2 linked regions of the Pelodiscus sinensis genome follow. The protein of the gene in region 1 interacts with the protein of each later gene in a pairwise test. Links are inferred from orthologs where the notes say so. Each region holds a gene or a part of one and is shown on either strand. Other genes may lie near its edges. The genes, in order: SAR1A and SLC38A7.

The links.
Region 2: the proteins of SAR1A (region 1) and SLC38A7 interact in binary tests that used the Homo sapiens proteins (3 or more experiments, as listed by UniProt). The link is inferred for Pelodiscus sinensis from reciprocal best matches to the Homo sapiens genes SAR1A and SLC38A7.

What each region holds. Positions count from the first base shown.
Region 1 is NC_134718.1:32,478,767-32,488,885, forward strand, and holds the start of SAR1A (small COPII coat GTPase SAR1A), read left to right. Parts: upstream 1-6,116; 5' UTR 6,117-6,232; exon of another isoform or gene 6,233-6,321; intron 6,322-9,234; 5' UTR 9,235-9,251; coding exon 9,252-9,309; intron 9,310-10,119. UniProt on the Homo sapiens protein: Small GTPase that cycles between an active GTP-bound and an inactive GDP-bound state and mainly functions in vesicle-mediated endoplasmic reticulum (ER) to Golgi transport.
Region 2 is NC_134722.1:46,524,909-46,535,038, reverse strand, and holds the start of SLC38A7 (sodium-coupled neutral amino acid transporter 7), read left to right. Parts: upstream 1-5,830; 5' UTR 5,831-5,985; intron 5,986-9,887; 5' UTR 9,888-10,077; coding exon 10,078-10,130. UniProt on the Homo sapiens protein: Symporter that selectively cotransports sodium ions and amino acids, such as L-glutamine and L-asparagine from the lysosome into the cytoplasm and may participates in mTORC1 activation. The transport activity requires an acidic lysosomal lumen.

The sequences.
Region 1 (10,119 bases):
ACATGGAGACATGGGGCAGAGACCTCAGAGCAGTGGTCTCCAGCCTTTTAAAGCACTAGATCACTTTTTGAATGTAAGTGCAATCCAAGATCTACCTCATATATAAATACCCTGGCCCTGCCTCCTTCCTATCCCTTCTCCAAGGCCCCGCCCCTGCTCCCTCTGTCCTCCCTCTCTTGCCTATCCTCACTCACTTTCATCAGCCTGGGACAGAGGGTTGGGGTGCAGGCTTTGGTCTTGGATTAAGGGATCTGGAGTGTGAGAAGGGCTCTGAGCTGCTCTTGGGGCGGGCAGGTGGACGTAGGAGGGGATTCTAGGTGCAGGCTTTGGGAGGGTATTTGGATGCAGGGGTGCTCAGAGCTAGGATAAGGGCTTGGGTACAGGAGGGGGTTCATGACTGGGGTAGGAGTTTGGGATGTGGGCTCCATTTGGGCACTGCTGGTGGCTCCTGGGTGGTGGTGCAGTGGGGCTAAGGCAGGCTCACCCATGCCCTGGCCCTGAACCACTCCCTAAAGCAGTCAGCAAACTGCATCCCTAGTCTTGTTGTGCCCCCTCTCTGCTCCGTGGAGAAAGAATACAGAATGGGAGAGGGGGAACCCTGACATCAGCACCCCTCTTTTCCCTCCTCTGCCCTGCACAGAAAGCAGGAGACTCCCAGGGGAAAGGCTTAGCCAAAGGGCAGGAGGTGCACAGCAGTGGGGGTAAAGGGCAGCTGAAGTGCTGGCACTTGATAGCCTCTTGGCCAAACCCACCAGGATCACCTGTCAGAGGCTCCAAGATCTACCAGTAGATCCCAATCTACTGGTTGGTGACCACTGCCTCAGAGTGAGGGGCTGGCCAGAGGCAATGGGTCATGTTACCGCAGGGACAGCCCTGCTCCACCCAGCTCAGGACAAGGGCACTGTTTACAAACGGGCATCCGCCAGACACACAGTGGCCCTCTGGCCCCGCGCTGCTGCCATCATGCTTCTTCCCTTGGGGGTGGGCCCATGCCGCACTCTGCTACCCCCACCCAGCACCCCTTTGACTCCCTACACCCAGTGCCATACCACCCAGAGACCCCCACAAATCACTATGCCCAGTGCCTCCCACAGATCGCTATGCCCAGCACACCCCCACCCACCCAGTGACCCCCCACAGATCCCTTCACTGCCCAGTGGCCCCCATAGTCCCACCACACAACTGCACAGTGCCCCTCACAGACCCCCCACGCTTCCCAGCGCCCTGATACACACAGATCTGCCCAGTGCCCCAAAAAAACCCCTACTCCCCAGCATCCCAAAACAAACAATCCTTCCCCACTGCCGAGCACTTCCCACCCTCTCACTGCCCAGCACCCCCCCCAGGCCCTCTAGAGACCTATTCTCCCACACCTGGACCCCCCGTCCACAATAGCCAGCCCTGATAGGAGGCGAGGGGCCAGACCCTGCTGTGTGGGTGGGCCTGGTGCCACAGTGCCATTGGCACCATTGTAAACCCGGTAGTGACGCCAAACCAACTCCCTTCTGTCCCTGGTGCTACTTTACTGCTACAGGAGACTTGGTGCAGTGAAATAATTTACCTACATTCCCTCAAACTCTGTGTCACACATTTTGAGAATTTAAAAGAGTCTCTTATCACTCACTATATGTCTACGTGAAGTCTCATAACGGTTTCCAATTTGGTTTTTATCTGCTGTGATTCCCTGAATTGCACTCTCTTCTTGTAAACCATTTTAATTATAGTTTTGCAACTTTAAAAATGTTATTTCTATTACTCTGAACAAGTTGTAATTTATCTGTATTATCACTTTGTAATGCATGTGTGTTTATGTTTTATTTTAATAGCTAATGCTCATCCAAAATTTTAAGTAAGCAGTTGCTATTGGTTTTAGGAATTCCATCTGTGTTTCTGTTTTTGCGGAAAAGTGTCTGTGCCAATCCAGACGCGCTTTTGCACAAAAAAGCTCCGATCTGTCTACACTGGCCCTTTTGCGCAAAAGCTTTGCACAAAAGGACTTTTGCCCGAACGGGAGCAACATAGTATTTCCACAAGAAGCACTGATTTCAGACAGTAGGAAGTCAGTGTTCTTTCAGAGATTCAAGCGGCCAGTGTAGACAGCTGGGAAGTTTTTCTGCAGAAGCAGCTGCTTTTGCGGAAAAGCTTGCCGGTCTAGACACAGCATTCATGTATGTAAAAGGCTGATATTATAAACTGGAGTCAGGTTGGTGCTATGCAAATTTATATAGGAACTGCTAGACTGGCTCAAACCTAGGGTCCACGTAATCCAGTATCTGATGGCTGCAAGTATTAGATGTTGTTGTAGAGAAAGGTGTAAAAAAACCCACAAGAGGCAGATGTGGGCTAATCTGTCCCCCATACGTCTCATCCTATCACCTAATATTGTCTTCAGTCCTGAAATATAAATAGGGGTTTATATTGCTTTCAAAACTCTTTTACAACTGGACATTCTTGTTACTTGTCTGAACATCTACTTCCCCTTTGAATTTTGCTAAATTCTAAGTTTAAAAGTTACCATGTGGCAAATGAGTTCTACTGTCTAACTATATGCAAGTAGAACAATATTTCCTTGTATACATTTTGGCTGCGTCTAGATTGGCATGATTTTCTGGAAATGCTTTTAACGGAAAACTTTTCCGTTAAAAGCATTTTCGGAACAGAGCGTGTAGATGGGCATGGACGCTTTTCTGCAAAAGCACTTGTTGCGGAAAAGCATCTGTGCCAATATAGACACGCTTTTCCGCAAAAAAGCCCCGATCGCCATTTTTGTGATCGGGGCTTTTTTGCGGAAAACAGTACTGTGCTGTCTACACTGGCCCTTTTGCACACAAGTCTTTCGGAAAAAGACTTTTGCCAGAACGGGAGCAGCATAGTATTTCCGGAAAAGCACTGACAATCTTACATGAGATCGTCAGTGCTTTTGCGGAAATTCAAGCGGCCAGTGTAGACAGCTGGCAAATTTTTCCGCAAAAGCAGATAATTTTGCGGAAAAACTTGCCAGTCTAGACACAGCCTATGTGTATTATATTGTGTCATCTTACATCCTTCCCAAAGGCAAAAATCTTTTGCAACAATGGAGGTTTGGGCTGATGAGCAGTGGCTGCAAAACTTTTGGATGCTCAAGTCCACATTCCTGCATCTGTGTGTAAAACTCACCAAAATAAAAGCTATACTGACAACTGAGAAGCAAATATAGATTGCATTATGGGGGCCTGCAACACCAGATTCTTATTGGTCAATAGGCTTACCAGGTAGGTTTAGAAAAAATACTGGACACACTTGATGGGGGTGTGTGTGTAGTGCAGTTAGCCTGGGGCATGTCTACACTGCCACCCTTGTTCGATCTAGGGTGGTTAATGTAGGCAACCGAAGTTGCAAATGAAGCCCAGGATTTAAATATCCCGGGCTTCATTTGCATCTTGCCGGACGCCACCATTTTTAAAGCCCCGGTAGTTCGGACTCCGTGCCAGCGCAGCACGGAGTAGGTAGTTCGGATTAGGCTCTCTAATCCGAACTATCGGTACAGCTCGTTCCAGGAGGCTTGCTGAGGCCTGTGGGGGTAATGCATCAGAACTAGCCAATTCACTACCCTCACGCCGCAACACCGGCCTGGAGGCACCGCCACTAGCACCCCACAGTGTGGGAGAAAACAGGGCCTGACCTGACCCCCAGTGCAAGGAATCCACTTGAGGGAGGGCCCTAGCACCAAAATTTCACTGGTGCTCAGGAGGCTACAGGGCCTTTCTAGGGGGCACTGGCTCCAGTTCAGTCCCACGGCAGGGGGCACGGGCTGACTCACGGAGGTATGGATGGGCTCTGGAGAGCCGTCCCTTCTAGAGGGCACCAGCCTCCGTCTAACCCCATGTGGCAGTATAGTATCACAGAACACTAGAGCTGGAAGGGACCTCAAGAGATCATCAAGTCCAGTCCCCTGCCCTCACAGCAGGACCAAGCACCCAGGGCTGCTCAATACATGGCCCATGGGCTGCATGCTGCCCATGGCCAGTTTGTTTGCGCCCTGCAGTGCAGTTTGGGTTTATGTGGGGATCAACACGTGGCCGGCGAGTGGGAACCAAAACCAAAAAAGTAGTCAGTGTAATGATCTTCTGTTGAGATGAGTTTTAGTAGTTCCAAAGTTGAGTTGCCCTAGCTCATCCCTGACAGGTGTCTGTCTAACCTGGTCTTAAATATCTCCAGTGATGGAGATTCCGCAATCTCCCTAATCAATTTAATCCAGTGCTTAACCACCCTGACAGGCAGGAATTTTTTCCTAATGTCCAACCTAAACCTCCCTTGCTGCAATTTAAGCCCATTGCTTCTCTTCCTAACCTCAGAGGCCAAGGAGAACAATTTTTCTTCCTCCTCCTTATGATACTCTTTTAGATACTTGAAAGCTGCTCTCATGTCCCTTTTCGGTCTTCTCTTTTCCATGGTAAACAAGGCCAATTCCTTCAGCCTTGCCTCATATCTCATGTTCTCTAGACTTCTCATTATTTGTGTTGATCTTCTCTGGACTTTCTCCAGTTTCTCCACGTTTCCTGAACTGTGGCGCCCAGAACCGGACATGATACTCCAGCTGGGGCCTAATGTAGATGGCTCATTCCCTGCCTAGGGGACGTAAGACTGGGTGGGTGAATTTCCAGTCCTCCTGTGTATGCTTTTCTTAAGCCAGAAGGGCTCAGTGGTTTTGATGGGGGACCTGCAGGAAGGCAGCCCGCACTGCCCCCTGCCTGAAACCTTCTGCAGGTGTTAAACAGCTGTCCAGCCCACCCTAGAGGTGACTGCATTTCAGCGTGCCTGTAGCAACACAGCACCAGCAATGGACAGGAGAATGGCTCCCGGGCATGGCTTGCTCATGACTGCTTCAGTCCCATTGGATGGGCCTCTGCCTCTTTCCGTCCCCTCCCCCGCTTTGCAATGGGGCTGTAGAGTCTGGGGGAGAGTGGTGGAGGCAGGCAGAGGTGTCTCCCTGCAGCAGATATAGACACATCTCTGTATTAATCATTCTCTCATTGAAGTTTTTAGCTTTGTATTGAGTCCTTTTACATGAAAACTTTGTATTATGTCTTGGTAGAATAGTCCCTAGGACAAGTGAGGCAGAGACTGTCCCTGTGGGGTGAATGAGGTGGGACTGTATAAGGCAGAAGGTGAGCACCTCTGGGCAGTTGCGAAGGTTGGAGAGGGGATGGAAGCCAAGATCAATGAGCCCTGGGAAGTGGGCCCATTGAAAGAAGACTGGACCTGTGGATGCTGTGGGGGTCAGCAGCAAGGGCCTGCTTTGGGAAGCCCCCTCTTTGGAGGTGAATGTGGCAGCACTGAGACACCACCGAGAAGCAGGTGCCAGAGACACTAACTGCAGATGCATGGGATGGCCTTCTCAGAGCTAGCACATGAATAAGATGACAGATCTGCAGGAGGGGGGACAGTGGCATAGCAAGGGGGCCGGAAAGATCAGTTGCCCCTGGGCACCATGCTAGGGAGGCGTCAATTTAATCCCATTCTGCTCCCCATCATCCCTCAGCTCACGTGCTCCTCCTCCGCCTGCCACCGGCAGCTGGAGCCTCCTTCCTGCCTCTCTGCTCCAAGCCCAACCCTCCTCCATCTCCACCAGCAGGTTAGTGCACGGGGGAGCCCGGCCTCAAACTATAGGGGGTGGGGGAAGATGCGGTACAAGGAGCAACGGGTGAGTGTTTTCGACCACAGAACCCATCCCTCCGAATGTGCAACCCCTGGAGCAGGTGTCAGAAGAGGGAGCGCGTTGTGAGTGTTCTGGAGCAGGGACCCCGTCCCTGAGCATTCGCAGCCCCTGGACCAGGTAGCGAGTCCTGAGCAGTAGCCCACAATTTCACGTTTGCATGGCAGAAACCCCAACGAGGCGCAAAAAATGGGGGTTTCAGTTTTCTTCGCGGCACCTGGCCCATGTCCCAGGCAGCCCCGGGCTTAGCGACTCAAAGGGCAGCCTGGAGCTCAGCTGCCCCCAGCGGCAGCGCTGACCCACCCCGCTGCCAGGACACCCCTGCGCGCCTGCGCCCTCTGCTGCCGGAGCCGGCCTCTGACGCCCAGCCCCGAAGCATCAGGGGAGGGGCTAAAACCTGCGCCCAGCACCGTGACACGTCACCGCGCCGTAACCGCACGCAGCGCGCTAGCCAGCGCGGCGGACCCATCCCCGGAAGTAGCCGAGCGAAGAAGTGCTACGTATTTCCGGCGTGTAGCTGGCGGTTGCCGACTCCGAGTAAGTGAGTGAGGACCGACGCCTGTGGAGGGATCGCGGCCCAGGTCGGCCATAGAGGGGCGAGGCGGGTGCTGCTGCTGCGCGGGGAGGTGAGGGGCGGCCAGCTGGCCGGGGCTAGTGGAGGGGGTGCTGGGCCGTGGGCTGGTTCGGTGGGGGAGGGGAGCCGAGTGACACGCAGTCGGTTTGGGTGGGAGCCGCTACGCGGGGGGGAGGGGTGACGCCGGGGCGGGCTGCTCTGCCGTAGGATGGGGGGGGGGCAGGGGAAAACAGACCTGCTGTGGGGCTGATGTCCGGCTCCCTTCCACGTACGCTGTCGGGGCCCCCCTCACTTAGCCTGGGCCTGCGGGTCTAGGGCAGCGGGTTTCCGCTCCCGCCGGTGTCCTGGAGCTGTCACGCGGCGGGCGGACCTTCACAGTCAGTCCAGGACATGGGGCCTTTGAATCAGGGACCTGGGCGCGGACGAGTACACGGGCAGGCGCCCCGGGGAGCTTTGCCCCCGTGGCAGGTACTTCACCCCATCTCCATTTAGTGTTTCTTCACGCAGGATTTCTACATCCTCTTCAGGCACCTGTGATTCAGAATTATGTTTGTTGTGTTACATTTAGTTATGTGAGAATTTGCCCCTCCTGCAGTTGCTTTAATTTTTGAGGCACTGTCAGTAAGATGGGCTAACCTTGAGCCACAACATTACTTATGGCAACAGTACTAGGCATGTGAAAGGTAACCAGTAAGCATCTCCCTAAATGGATAATGCTTACTGGTTCCAGGTAACTGGTGGGGGCTGCAGCAGCTCCCTCCCTCCCCTCCCCCCCTCTCCCTCCCTGCCACAGATGGGCTGATCTTGAGTCCGGAGCAGCCTCTCTCTGCAGGGAGCCCAGGCACCTTGCAGTCAAGGACTGCTCTAGCAGAAGCCCCCAATGCAGGGCTGTGAGCCAACAGCCAACTCTAGCATGAGGTTGGGGCTGGAGCCCAGTGGGCTGAGGGCTGCTCCAGCCAGGTTGGAGCATTCCCCAGCTGGGATTCTGCTTAGTCAGATAACCAGTTAAATATTATGTCAACCTAATGTTTAACCAGTCAACTGATTAACTGGAATTTTACATTCCTAAACAGTACTAGCTGAAACTTCAAAATGCTCCTCCTGTGATTGGCACTTAAAAATCACTGCTGACTTACAAGCCCCACTTTGGACTAAAGACAACCAAATGAAAGTATTATGGATGGGTGGTTAACTTGCAGGTCCCCTTGTGATACTTGATCTTTTCCTAAGGATCGTTTTGCATTGTAGCTTTGGAGAGATAAAACCTAGACTGGGGATCTGATTTGTGTTTCACTTTCATTCTGAGTGCTACTGAAATGTGAGGGTGAACTTTTTATGTACTTCAGAGTCAACCATACTTTTATAAAGATTGATCTAATGCGGGGATTCTCAGATTGGGTAGCAATCCCATTATGGGGTTGCCAAGGCAGCCATTAGATTTGCTGAGGCCCCAAGTGTGGAGCTGAAGCCCAATCTCAAGGGCTTCAGCTCTGGGTGGTGGGGTTGCAGCACTTGAGCTTCAGCTTCGGTTCCGCCCCGCTCCCCCTCCCACATATGCGCACATCTCTTCCAAGACACCAGGGTTGGGCAGGCTCAGGCCTTGGTTCCCCTCTCCCCCATGGTTATGTAGTACTTTCTGAGGTCAGGAGGAGGTCGCAGTGAGAACCCCTTGTCTAATGGAATTCTGATTTTCCAGATATGTAGAAACTATTTACATTGTGTGACCAAAACGGATCCAATTTATTACTGCACCAAAGAGAGTGTGGTAATGAGCATGATAGCTAAAAGAAGCAGGTACAGACATATAATTCAGGAAGCAGCTAAAAGAGTGAAATAGATAAAAATGAGCAGCTATATGTTAACATAGACATTAGTGGGATATGTCCTGGAATGGCTGTTAGTACATCAACTCCACGGCTGTGTCTAGATTGCCGTGACCTTGAGCAAAAGCAGTCGCTTTTGCGCAAAAACTTGCTGCCTGTGAGTTCTTTCGCAAGTACATTGACGTTCTCATGTATGAAATCAGTGCTTCTTGCGTGAGAACTCTGATGCTCCTGCTCAGGAAGAAGCCCTCTTGTGCAACTGTTCTTGTGCAAGAGGCCAGTGTAGACAGGCAACATAAATTTCTTGCACAAGAAAGCCCCATGGTTAAAATGGCCATCAGAGCTTTCTTGCGCTAGAGAGCATCTACACTGGCAAGGATGCTCTTGTGCAAAAGCACATGCCAGTGTAGACGCTTTCTTCTGGAAGAGTTTTTGCACAAGAACTCTTTCGCAAAAGAGTTCTTGCGCAAGATCATGCCAATGTAGACGTAGCCCACTGGTACATATAGCTGCAGTTGATAATGCCATCTTTAGAAGAGAGCATGTTGATCTAAAGTGAAAATGTTTGAAAATGTTCAGGGATCTTTAACGTCATCCAAAATAGGAACCATAACCTTCTTTCAACTCCAATAACATTTAGACAACAAATATGAATTCTGCCTTTTGGTGCAGAGGCAAGTATACCATTAACTTGGTTTGGTAAACCTGTGAATAGACCACTCCAATAACCACCTATTTTTTTTATCACAGTCAAATACTGTCAAATCATAGCAAGCATACCCTGATGTAGGTGGCAGTCTACCTTTATGACTGCAACATGGTCTTTCTTTCTATCTTTCTTAACTTGATGATCAACATTTTTCTGAGATAAAGTAACTCAATTAAGTAATGTTGGTGTAATTAGTCATGTGTATCTATCTAAGGGTAAACATGTTGGAGTCGATGAAGTTTTACTTTTTTTGCTGCTATGGTTCTTTAAAATGTTGTGTTAAAATATTTGATTGTTCTTAACATTATTTGTCCAGTCAATTGACCACTTACTTGTGGACCTGTCAACTCCTCTCTCGTACTACAGCCTGAATCTTGCTGGGATATGGCATAAAGTTTTTACTGATAAATGTCTCATGTTTATTTTCTTGCAGGCAACTAATCTTCAACCATGTCTTTCATTTTTGAATGGATTTACAATGGCTTCAGCAGCATGTTGCAATTTTTAGGTAATATTTCAAATGTGTATTCACCAACAAACATAAATTGTTGATTTAACTAAAAAGATTTTAAATTCTGATTAAATCAGTGCAAATGCTAAACCGAAACATAATTATTACTTAAATTAGTTCAATTTATTAACTTACTGACATAAAATATCCCTTTTTAATAAGACTTGCACTCGCTTGAGTGCATCTACATTAAGCCTTTGCACTGCTTTTAATTAGATGAGATTAAAATCTCGTTAAAAAATAAGTTTAAACAGATGCACCTTTTATAGTACAGTTAACTCTCTTCCTGAACTTAATAGTACATTAGATTTTCTCTCCTGTTTTATAATAACAAAAAAATTGGTGAAATATTGGAGTAGTACAATTTATACTTACTTTTTTTTTTAAATTCGACGTGGGCCTAGCTTCTCTTATTACTTAGATTTTTGAAAATGAAACATCCATAAAATGTTCCTTTCCTTTTTCTAGGTGAACCCTGCATGTTCTTCTACTGTGTAGTAATCTGATGCAGTCTATAATGAAGATACTCTCTCCTTCCATGAAACTTTTGAGACATCTAATTTTTTGATTGTCTGCATGGCTATTTGTCTGAGTTTTCTAGACAAAATTGGAGGCACGGAAGTTAGGTTATGCTCATGCAAATGCTTATCAGATAGTCGATAAGCTTGTCAACTAGTCTTCTCCCCTTCCCCCTTGCTGCCATTATCAGAAAGAGGCGGGGATGGGGGGAGAGAGAAGAAGGAGGTACTACAAAGCGGCAGTCCTGCGTGGAGCCTGGCACTACCACTTTGAAATGCCACCATGGAA
Region 2 (10,130 bases), on another chromosome or scaffold:
AAATGCTTGCACTCCAGAAAAAAACATTTAGCTCTTTCCCATGTAATGTAATGCAGCATTATTGTTTCAACTACTGATTAATTCAACAGAGGACATCAAAGTTATTTGCATAAACATTAAAGCAAAGGGGCTACCATTTTGTACGTTTCCACAAACTTGGTCAAACATAGTTGGCAAACCTCTGACGGAATTTTGGAATTAAAAATAGAAAGGAAAATGAAGATATTCCAGCCACAGAGGGAATGTTCTCCAAATTCCTTGAAAAAGCAAGCCACTCCCTTGCCATATGAGTCTCACTGCAAGTCTAAAGACTGATTCATCTAATTGTAGAATAAGATCATAATCTTTAAATAGTGTGTGAGTCCTCCAGTGACACTCACTATGTTGTATATTTTAGAAATCAGAGACCAACCAGAGCAGTCTTAGTGTAGGCTGCTACGTATGTTTAAATACAGGGCCATCCGGGGCATATGCAGCTACATAGTGTACCATTACATTTGGGTCACTAGGTGCCCCAAATTTAGTAATGCCTTAGGCTGTGTATGCCTAGGAACAGTCATCCCCCTCCCCATGGGCTCAGTGACAGGGTTCTGGCAGCTCCCGCCAGCCCCAGCTCCTGGCTGCTTCTCCCTCCCCACTACATGGGCTGCACCTAGCCCCCACTTACCAGGTGGCAGTGAGCAGCAGGGTGAGCATAGGTCCAAGGACTCAAGAGAAGCTGAGGGTGGCCACACAGCTGGAGAGAAGCAGTGGTTTACCGTTCTCTCTGGCCAGCTATGCGGCCGTCCTATGCTCCGCCTGAGTTCTCCTCCAGCCCATGGTCCATGCCAGCCACCTGCTGCCCTGAGATGCAAGTGAGCGTCCCTCCCTGCCCTGCTCAGGGGTTGCCCACTCTCCCAGACCAGCCAGATTTGCAACAGACTGGTTGATCATTGCCTTTGGTTGCTTTTTTTACATGCACATTGTGGCTGTGTCTACACTGGGCCACTTATTCCGGAAAATCAGCCGCTTTTCCGGAATAAGCTGCGAGCTGTCTACACTGGCCCTTGAATTTCTGGAAAAGCAACGACGCTCTACTGTACAAAATCAGCCGCTATCCCGGAAAAGCTACGCTGCTCCCGCTCGGGCATAAGTCCTTATTCCGGAACACTGTTCCGGAAAAGGGCCAGTGTAGACAGCCCAGTAGTCTTTTCCGGAAAAAAGCCCCGATCGCGAAAATGACAATCGGGGCTCTTTTCCGGAAAAGCACGTCTACATTGGCCACAGATGCTTTTCCGGAAAAAGGGCTTTTCCGGAAAACATCCTGCCAATGTAGACGCTCCTTTTCCGGAAATACTTATAACGGAAAACTGTTCTGTTTTAAGCACTTCCGGAAATTCCTGCCAGTGTAGACACAGCCTGTATGTTTACTAACCACGGAAATGGGAATAAACTATTTGCCAGAAAAAAGTTGGCCAAGGAATGAAGCTTTGACACCCCCCCCCCCCCCAGGAGCCGCCTGAGGTGAGCAGAGTCCAGCTGAGCCAGAATCCCAAGCCCCTGCCCCCGTCAAGAACCCCTCTTCCACCCCAAGCCCCTGTCCTAGCCCGGAACCCCTTGCACCCAAACTCCCTTGCAGAGCCTGTCCCCTGACCCCTCCTCCACCCCAACTGCCTGCCCCAGGCTCAGCCTAGAGCCCCCCTCACACGCCAAATCCCTTCCCCCAAGCCCGGAGCCTGCGCCCCGTTCGGTCCCGTTGCCGGGGTCGGCCCGCCCAGGGGGCCTCGGCGCGGGGAGCCGGGACTCGGCCACGCACCCCGACCTGGGGGGGGGGCGGCGATGAAGCCGCCCCGCCCGCCGCCTGCTCCTGGGCCTCCCGGCCCCACCCCAGCACCCGCAAGCGGAGGCTCCCTCCGGGCCACGGCCCCCGCCTAACGGCTCCGCCCTCCGCAGCCGGACGAAGCGCTCGGGGGACCCCGCTCTCCCCGGGCCCTGCCCCCAGGCTGCGGCCGCTCCTCACCTTCTCCCCGCGGTCAGAGGCGGCGCCCGGCACCCCGCTCCCTCCGGCCTCATCCCGCGGGGCGCGCTCAGGGCCAGGCCGGTGGCTCCAGGCGCCTCCCGGGGACGGGTCGCTAGGCCCGTCTCCATGGCGACAGCTACGGCGCGGCGCAAGGACCAAAGCGCGCAGTCGATGGGATGGCTCCGTGCAGGCGGCGCGCGCCGGGCCTTGTTACAGGCGGGGCAGCGTCACTTGCTCCCCCTCCACCAGTTTCACCAGGGCTGAGCCCCGCCCCCCAGAGACCCTCCCCACTGCTCTGAGACCCCCACCCACCTTAGCCCCAAGACCCTGACCCACTGCCCGGAGACCCCCACTGCCCCGCACCCTGAGATCCCCACTCTGCTCAGCCTGACCCACTGCCCCTACAGCCAGTGCCCCCCCCAGAGACCCTCCCCACTGCTCTGAGACCCCCACCCACCTTAGCCCCAAGACCCTGACCCACTGCCCGGAGACCCCCACTGCCCCGCACCCTGAGATCCCCACTCTGCTCAGCCTGACCCACTGCCCCTACAGCCAGTGCCCCCCCCAGAGACCCTCCCCACTGCTCTGAGACCCCCACCCACCTTAGCCCCAAGACCCTGACCCACTGCCCGGAGACCCCCACTGCCCCGCACCCTGAGATCCCCACTCTGCTCAGCCTGACCCACTGCCCCTACAGCCAGTGCCCCCCCCAGAGACCCTCCCCACTGCTCTGAGACCCCCACCCACCTTAGCCCCAAGACCCTGACCCACTGCCCGGAGACCCCCACTGCCCCGCACCCTGAGATCCCCACTCTGCTCAGCCTGACCCACTGCCTCTACAGCCAGTGCCCCCACTCCCTCTACTCGCTGAGACCCCTCACCCATGACTCGCTGCCCAACATCCCCTCCACCCCAACCCGCAGCCCCTCCACCCCTGACTTCACCACCTCCCGCACCCTCTGCCTCTGCCTACCAACACCCCCACATCCCTACCTTCCTGAAAAGCTCCCCCTTTGCCCCTACTTTGATGCCTGCTAGGATCTCTAAATCTGTGAATCTGTATTCAGGCAAGCAAATAACAGTTGTTTCCTTGAAGCTGATAGATAGCTTTCAAAATGGTTTCCTCCAAGAACTTCTATACTGGTACAATTGCCTCCATACCAGTGATGTACTGTTTTAAGGCTTTCTGTTCCCGAACGGATTTGATGAAACCAAATGAAAACTCTGTGTGTGGACCAGCCCTAAGGGATTTTGTTCAATTTTTAGCCACCAGCTGCGTGTTTTCAAACTGTCTGATCCCTTGCAAATTATTAACAAGGTAGGTATTCTGGAGAGCAAACAGAAGTGCTGGGAAAAGGCCTCCTGTACATGACTTGATGGCCAGAGGAGGCAGTTTGAGGGGGGAGATTGTTACAGAATACCAGCCTCTGCTGCCTCCAGAGAGATGTTCAGTGATGTGTGAGAGATCTGTGAGGAGAAAACATCAAGGCCATTTACTGTACATACTCACAAAGATAGACACAATTTCCATCCGTGCTTGGAAAGGTTTCAAGACTCCAAACCTCAGAGTGAAACATTCTGAAGGGAATAACAGCTGACAGGATGTGTGTATAGGCAGCTAGTATTATGGGCCCAAGGTGCTCCAGCACCAGGAATCTTCAAGGTTCGGGGCTGGGGTCCATCAAAACTCACTGTCTACCTGCGTTCCCAGCCCCTAGCATCCTCCAGCCCCTCCTGCAACCCTTACCCATCTTCCGGCCTTACCTGCTTCCCCTCTGGTGATTTAAAATGTCTGGAGGTGTTAGCAGCATAGCTGGGTAAGAGCAGCTGTTAGCCACTCGCTTGTCCTGGCTGTCAGCATTTGTGTCCCTGTAGTCGAGACTGGGAAGGCCACCGTAATCCAGTGGCATTTTATATTCTGTGCTGTAACGGATCAAATAAGCTGCCGAGCAACAGAGGATGAGGCCCAGGGCCAAGTGCAACAAAAAAGGGTAGAGCAAAAACCTGAGCGGTGCTGAGCATTGACATCTGCCATAGAAGCCAATGGGCAATGCAGACGCTCAGCACTGAGGTCCTAAATTTGCAAACACAAATCATTTTACAGGCTGCCCCCAACTGGCGACACGATCGGTTCCGGAGATAGTGTTGCAAGTCGGGGGTGTCGTAACTTGAATCCACATTTACGACAGGTGTCGTACGCTGTCATAAATGTGGGGCCAAGGTTGTAAGTTGGGGGATTTCAGCCCGTTCTGCACTTATGGAAAAGGTCATAATTGTGGGAGGTCATAAATTGGGCCATCGCAAAGCGGAGGGCCTCCTGCATTCACATGAGTCATTGCAATAAAGCCAGCGGAGACTTGTGACCAAACTTAAAAGTTTTCTGAAGTTATCGTGCCATTACTTTAAACAAATCTTTCCCTTCCACTCCCCCACCTCATAGACCAGCCTCTACAAAAGGGTTGTTTTTTTTCAGTGGCTCTAGGGGCACATGTATGCCCTCCACCACCAGGCCCCTCTCCACCGCCGCCTGGGCAAAAGCCTCCGAGAAAAGGAGAACACTACCTTCCCATACATTTTGGTGGCCGCCACCATGGCCAAGGACCCTACCACCCTCGCCAATGCCTGCACGTATGTTTTGAGGTGGGGCAAGGCGGGGACCAGGAGGCAGCAGACGCAGGGTGGGGAAGGGGCCCAGGATGGAGCTGGAGGTGAAAGTGGCAGCACGTGGAGGGCGGCAGTGGTCACCTGGGCGTACACTCTGGGGACTGCAGGTGGATCACCCCCACAGCTGGTGGGGGAAACGGCAGGGGAAGGAGGGTGGTGTTTGTCAGTGAGGAGCTGGCCTGCCCTACTTGGCTGGAGACCAACCGGTTAAGTAGTAGTTCTGTAGAAAAGGACCTGGGGGTTACAGTGGATGAGAAGCTGGATATGAGTCAACAGTGTGCCCTTGTAGCCAAGAAGGCTAATGGCATATTAGGGTGCATTAAGAGGAGCATTACCAGCAGATCCAGAGATGTCATCATTCCCCTTTATTCGGCTTTGGTGAGGCCGCATCTGGAGTATTGTGTCCAGTTCTGGGCCCCCCACTACAAAAAGGATGTGGACACAATGGAGAGGGTCCAGCAGAGGGCAACCAAAATGATTAGGGGGCTGGAGCATATGACCTATGAGGAGAGGCTGAGAGTCTTGGGTCTGTTTAGTTTGCAGAAGCGAAGAGTGAGGGGGGATTTGATAGCAGCCTTCAACTTTCTGAAGGGAGGTCCCAAAGAGGATGGAGAGAGGCTGTTCTCAGTAGTGACAGATGGCAGATCAAGGAGCAATGGTCTCAAGTTGTGGTGGGAGAGGTCCAGGTTGGATATTAGGAAAAACTATTTCACTAGGAGGGTGGTGAAGCACTGGAATGGGTTCCCTAGGGAAGTTGTGGAGTCTCCATCCCTAGAGGTGTTTAAGTCTCCGCTTGACAAAGCCCTGGCTGGGCTGATTTAGTTGGAAATGGTCCTGCCTAGAGCAGGGGGCTGGACTTGATGACCTTCTGAGGTCTCTTCCAGTTCTATGATTCTATGATTCTACTTAGTCTCTTCCAAAAAACCTGAGGCTATGAATACAAAGGCTCAGCACACAGCTGTGTGGCAAGATCTGAAACCTGAGTTGCCTTGTTTATCCACCCCCAGCTGGCTTGCAGGAAGCGAGGTGGGGGTGGAAAGCTTGACAATGGTGCTGACAGGGGAACACTGCGGCCGGCCGTGGAATGCAGAAGGAAACCCCAAATCTGGCTGAAGGGCTAACGCTGAGCCACCAAGCAGGAAATGACTCGTGGAGGAGGGACCAGGCCGCTGAGAGTCAGCTGTGGCGGGGAGAGAACTACAGTTCCCAGCGTGCTGTGCGCTGGGCGGCTGCACGTGGGGCTTAATCATCTGGCCCGGGCGCTGGAGCCGGTGCGGAGAAGCAGGAGAGACCGTGGGAGGCTTTTTCGTCCCTTTCCCCAGGTATGAGGACACCGGGGGCTGGTGGATGAATGAGCCGAGCAGCCCCAGAAAGGGCTGCGGTGCCCGTATGAAGGAGCCTCCTTCCCTCCCCCCCCCAGGGGTGGGTTTCCACCCCGGAGCCCTCGCCCAGCTCAGCCCGTCTTCCCACCCCCTGGTAGGCATCAGTGCAGGCGCCCTCAGGCAGTGGCCTTCTCCCCATCGGGCTCTGGAGCAGCTGCAGGATCATCTCCCTGTCGGGGCGGTACAGCCAGGCTGCAAACCCTGCCACCACCCATGCACCTGCATGCTTCGGTGGCTGCGTCCCTGTGACACCTCTGCTGCCGTGGGGGCTGTGGCCCCTTGCCGTCCTGGTACCCACGGAGGGCGTGGTGCAGGCTCTGTGCTCGCCCTTCCCTGTTCTTTTGTCCCCTTGCTGTATGCTAGCGGGGCTGCCCTTTCTCCAGCCAGCATGCAAACGGCGGGTTGTTTTTTTGCCTGGCTGGCGTTTTCCTACTGTAGGCTGTGTATGACTGGGCTCTGGTGACTGTCAGCAGTGGCTCTCTCCTGGGTTATCACGTCCCTGTTGTCAGCACGTTTCAGGGTTAAACTCCTCCACAAGGAAGTTTCTGTGGGTCGGGTAGTTCTGCTTAATGGAGTCACAGGAATCCTCCATTGAAAGCAGACGGCTAGTCCCAGAAACTTGATTGTCCTGGCTGTAAGCAGATGCCACCTGCTTTGTAGGAAGGACTGATCCTCTCTAACACGCCGGATGGGCTGTGCCATCTTGCCTGAGGGGTTAGTGGGGAAGAAGTCGGGAATGGAGAACATTTATTCCTGACCTGCGGTCTGCCGGCTTGTGTATTGCAGTAGGCAAGGCAAAGGCAATCTGCTGGGCTCCTTCCTTCAGCTCAGTAGAAACCCTCTTCTCTGCACCCTGCTACCATGATTCTTGCAAGGACTGGCCCTGGGGGAAAACTTCCTCCAAACCTTAAATGGCAATACGTTCTATACTAATCATAAAGATTGACTGAGAGCCTTCTCACAACTTCCTAGTTACCCTACAAGTGTGGGTCTTGTCCGGGGATGTGTCTGGTTTAATAAGCTTCAGAAGAAAAGTATTCCTCTCAGCACTGCCCTGGATCTGTGAGTTTCACTGGTTAACCATGTCCTGGGATAGAAGTTACTTATGAGCTTGTCCTCAATCAGCTGTCTCACCCTGATCTGCTTAACAGTCACAGGGATGAGATGTTTGAAATAGCTCTCAGTTGCGTGAGGAGGCACTTCCTCTATGCTGAGTGTAGTGTTCCTAGACAGCCACTTTCCTTGTTAACAGAAAAACGGTGCGGAGGACGTAAAGATCAACTCTCAGCTTCCTCCAGGCCTGGCTGCTCTTTAGGCTCCTCCCACAGGACTGCTCAGCCCATACCCAGGATCCTCTTTCCCTGTAGACCCCTTCCCAACTTGCATATACTAGACATCTGCCTTAGTATTTAACCCCATCCCTGAAAGATCTATAGCCGCTCACAGGGCTGAGATGAAATACTTCTGGCTTGCTAATTTGATGGTTGAGCTTTGTTTCCTCTAATCCTGTGCTATAATGCTGATGCTGCAGGTTGAGCTGCACATAATGTAGGACCCTGGAGTGACAGAGCTGGAAGCTTATTTTAGTAATAGTTGGGTGTTCGTTGATGATCCCAAGACAAAGCAAACTCCAGTTTGCTCCTCGCTCCTCTCTGTGTTCCCTAGTTCCTGAACAGCCCAAAAATAAGCTGAATAAATGCAGTGTAGCACTCTGAAGTGCACCCATTGTTACTTTTTTGTGGTAGAAGTAGTGGTGTATCACTTGCCTCATACTGTAAAGGTTAATCTGGTAAGTGTGTGGGGCCGATGAAGGACAGTATAAAGATACCATGTGAAGCCCTCTTTGCAGTCAGAGATAAAAATTCTTTGTTATTCCTAAAATCTTTGGAAACCTCTTTTTGAAGCTGATGAAATTTCATAAATAGATCTATTGTTATGGTGATCACACAAGGTAAATTAGCGTTCCTTTTTCTAAAAGCTATGAACGTGGTCATGAATGCACTAAACCTCTGTGACCAATTAATTTAAAATAATGTCTTTATTTCATTGAGTTAATACGTAGTAATCGGGAAGGATGACTTTATGAAGGCTTAAGAGTATGTTTAAAATATAAAGTTATTTTAGAAATCCTGATGAAGAAAATGTAAATCAGAGATGAGCTGAATCATGAATTCCATTAACAATTAACGTTGTATTCAGCAGGACAGCTGACTTGCTCTTACTACAAAGTGTTTGCAGATAAATCTCTGACAAGCTTCAGGGTATTTAAAAAAAAAAAAAATCTGTGACTGACATATTTTATTCCCAAATTGAGTGCTTTTAATTAAATGCCTTCTGCACTTTCCATCTTCACCATCTGACATGCAGTGAAAACCGTGCTCTGTTTTTTTTAAAAAGGAAATTGTCGAAGAGCTGTGGGTTTTGTTTTGTTTTTCAAATTTGCTTTGTTTGGGTTTAGAGATTTGGGTGGAAGGAAGGGGGAGTGAAGAGAAAAGGGAGATAGTCGGTGGGGAGGGGGTGGATTTTCTGAACTGTAGACCTAGGAGCCCTAGAAGTGAATTGAGGCCTCTTTGTGCTGGGTGCTGTACAAACACAGACCAGAAAGATGCTCTCTGCCCCAAGGAGCTTACAGTCTCATCTCTTGCCTCTGTCTTTGGCATCTCCCCTTTGAGCACGGGCAATAGCTCTTAGCATAAGGGGAGGATTTCATAGATTTGTGCATCTCTGAGCTCCAGAGCTGAGGGTCTTCCACAAAAGTTGGGATCTCCAAACTAGCAATGACTTAGCGGTGTCCTTTTGGGATGAGTGTGGAAAGCTGATGCATGGAGAGTCAAGTGCCCCTCCGGATTTCTTCTTCACTTGCCAGGGGTGAGGGAAAGAATCTCACAGCTCCCTGAAATGCTCGGACCCTGACCTCGACCCTGGGGCTCGGTGGGGAACGGAAGGGGTGGGACCAGCCATTGCCAGGGAGAGCAGCTGAACGCGTCCTAGCAGAGGGACAGACCTCACCTTCCCGTACCCACACCCTGCAGGTAACTGGTGGGGCAGGGCAAGCCTGGTAGCCCCAAGCTGGATGCGGGGCAGGGAAGGTGCTGAGCAGAGGAGACACACGGGGCCCCCCTCTTAGATTCTGGCCCGCCCAGGATGGGAAAGGGTGAGTTGCCTGTGGGAGAGGTGGCTGTCACCGCCCCCACGCGTTCAGAGGCGCTCCCTCCGCTCAGCATGACATGAGCAGACAGACCCCGCTGGCCTCTCGTCCGGGCTTGCCCTGAACTTTGTCCCAAAGGCACACAAGGGCTTTTGCTGCGTTTGTAGAAACGTGGGGTGGAAATAAGGAAGCTGGCTTTGAAATGCAGTGTTTGAATGAGTTGTCATCAAGAGGCCGCGGCTTCACAGCCCTGTGGCTTGACGCTCTGGTGAGTCGCGTGACCGGTGCAGTGTAGCTTCCTCCGTGCACCCACCCGCCACCCTGCCTGGTCTCTGACCGAGGGGGGGGCAATTGTTCGGAGATGGAGAGGCGCTCTCTGGCCGTCCAACCCCAGGCTCTGCCAGCTGAGACAAAGGTGACCAGTTGCGATGACGTCCAAAAATCCAGCTCGCGCAAGCCAAGAGCTGCACCACGACTCCTAGCTGACCGTGGATCTGGGCTGTCCAGCTCAGGCCGGAAGAATCGGAGGTCCCAGTGCGAGTTCCTGCTCCTCACAACACACCCGTGATGCAATGTCCATGTCGATGAGAGGTTACGTTGTGCAATAGCTGTTAGGACAGAAGAGGAGTGTTGGTCCAGCAGGTTTATTTTTGCATCCAGTTGGTGGTGATGTTCCCCTCTGCTCCTTTTCTAGGTGCAGAAAAGGAGCCTGAACTCTGTGCCTGGGGCCATTCGGCCGAGGCCCCCAGCGCCAGAAGCGGGAGAATGGGTCTGCCTGCTTTGTGACCTGGAGGAGGCTGGGCCGGAGGGAGTGTCTGTGGGCTGGGGCGGGGATGAGGCGGTAGGGGACCCGGCGAGCGGGCAGGGTGCTGCCGGACGGAGACATGGCCCAGCACAATGTGGGGATCAACAGTGAGTACTGGGACTGGAGCGCGGA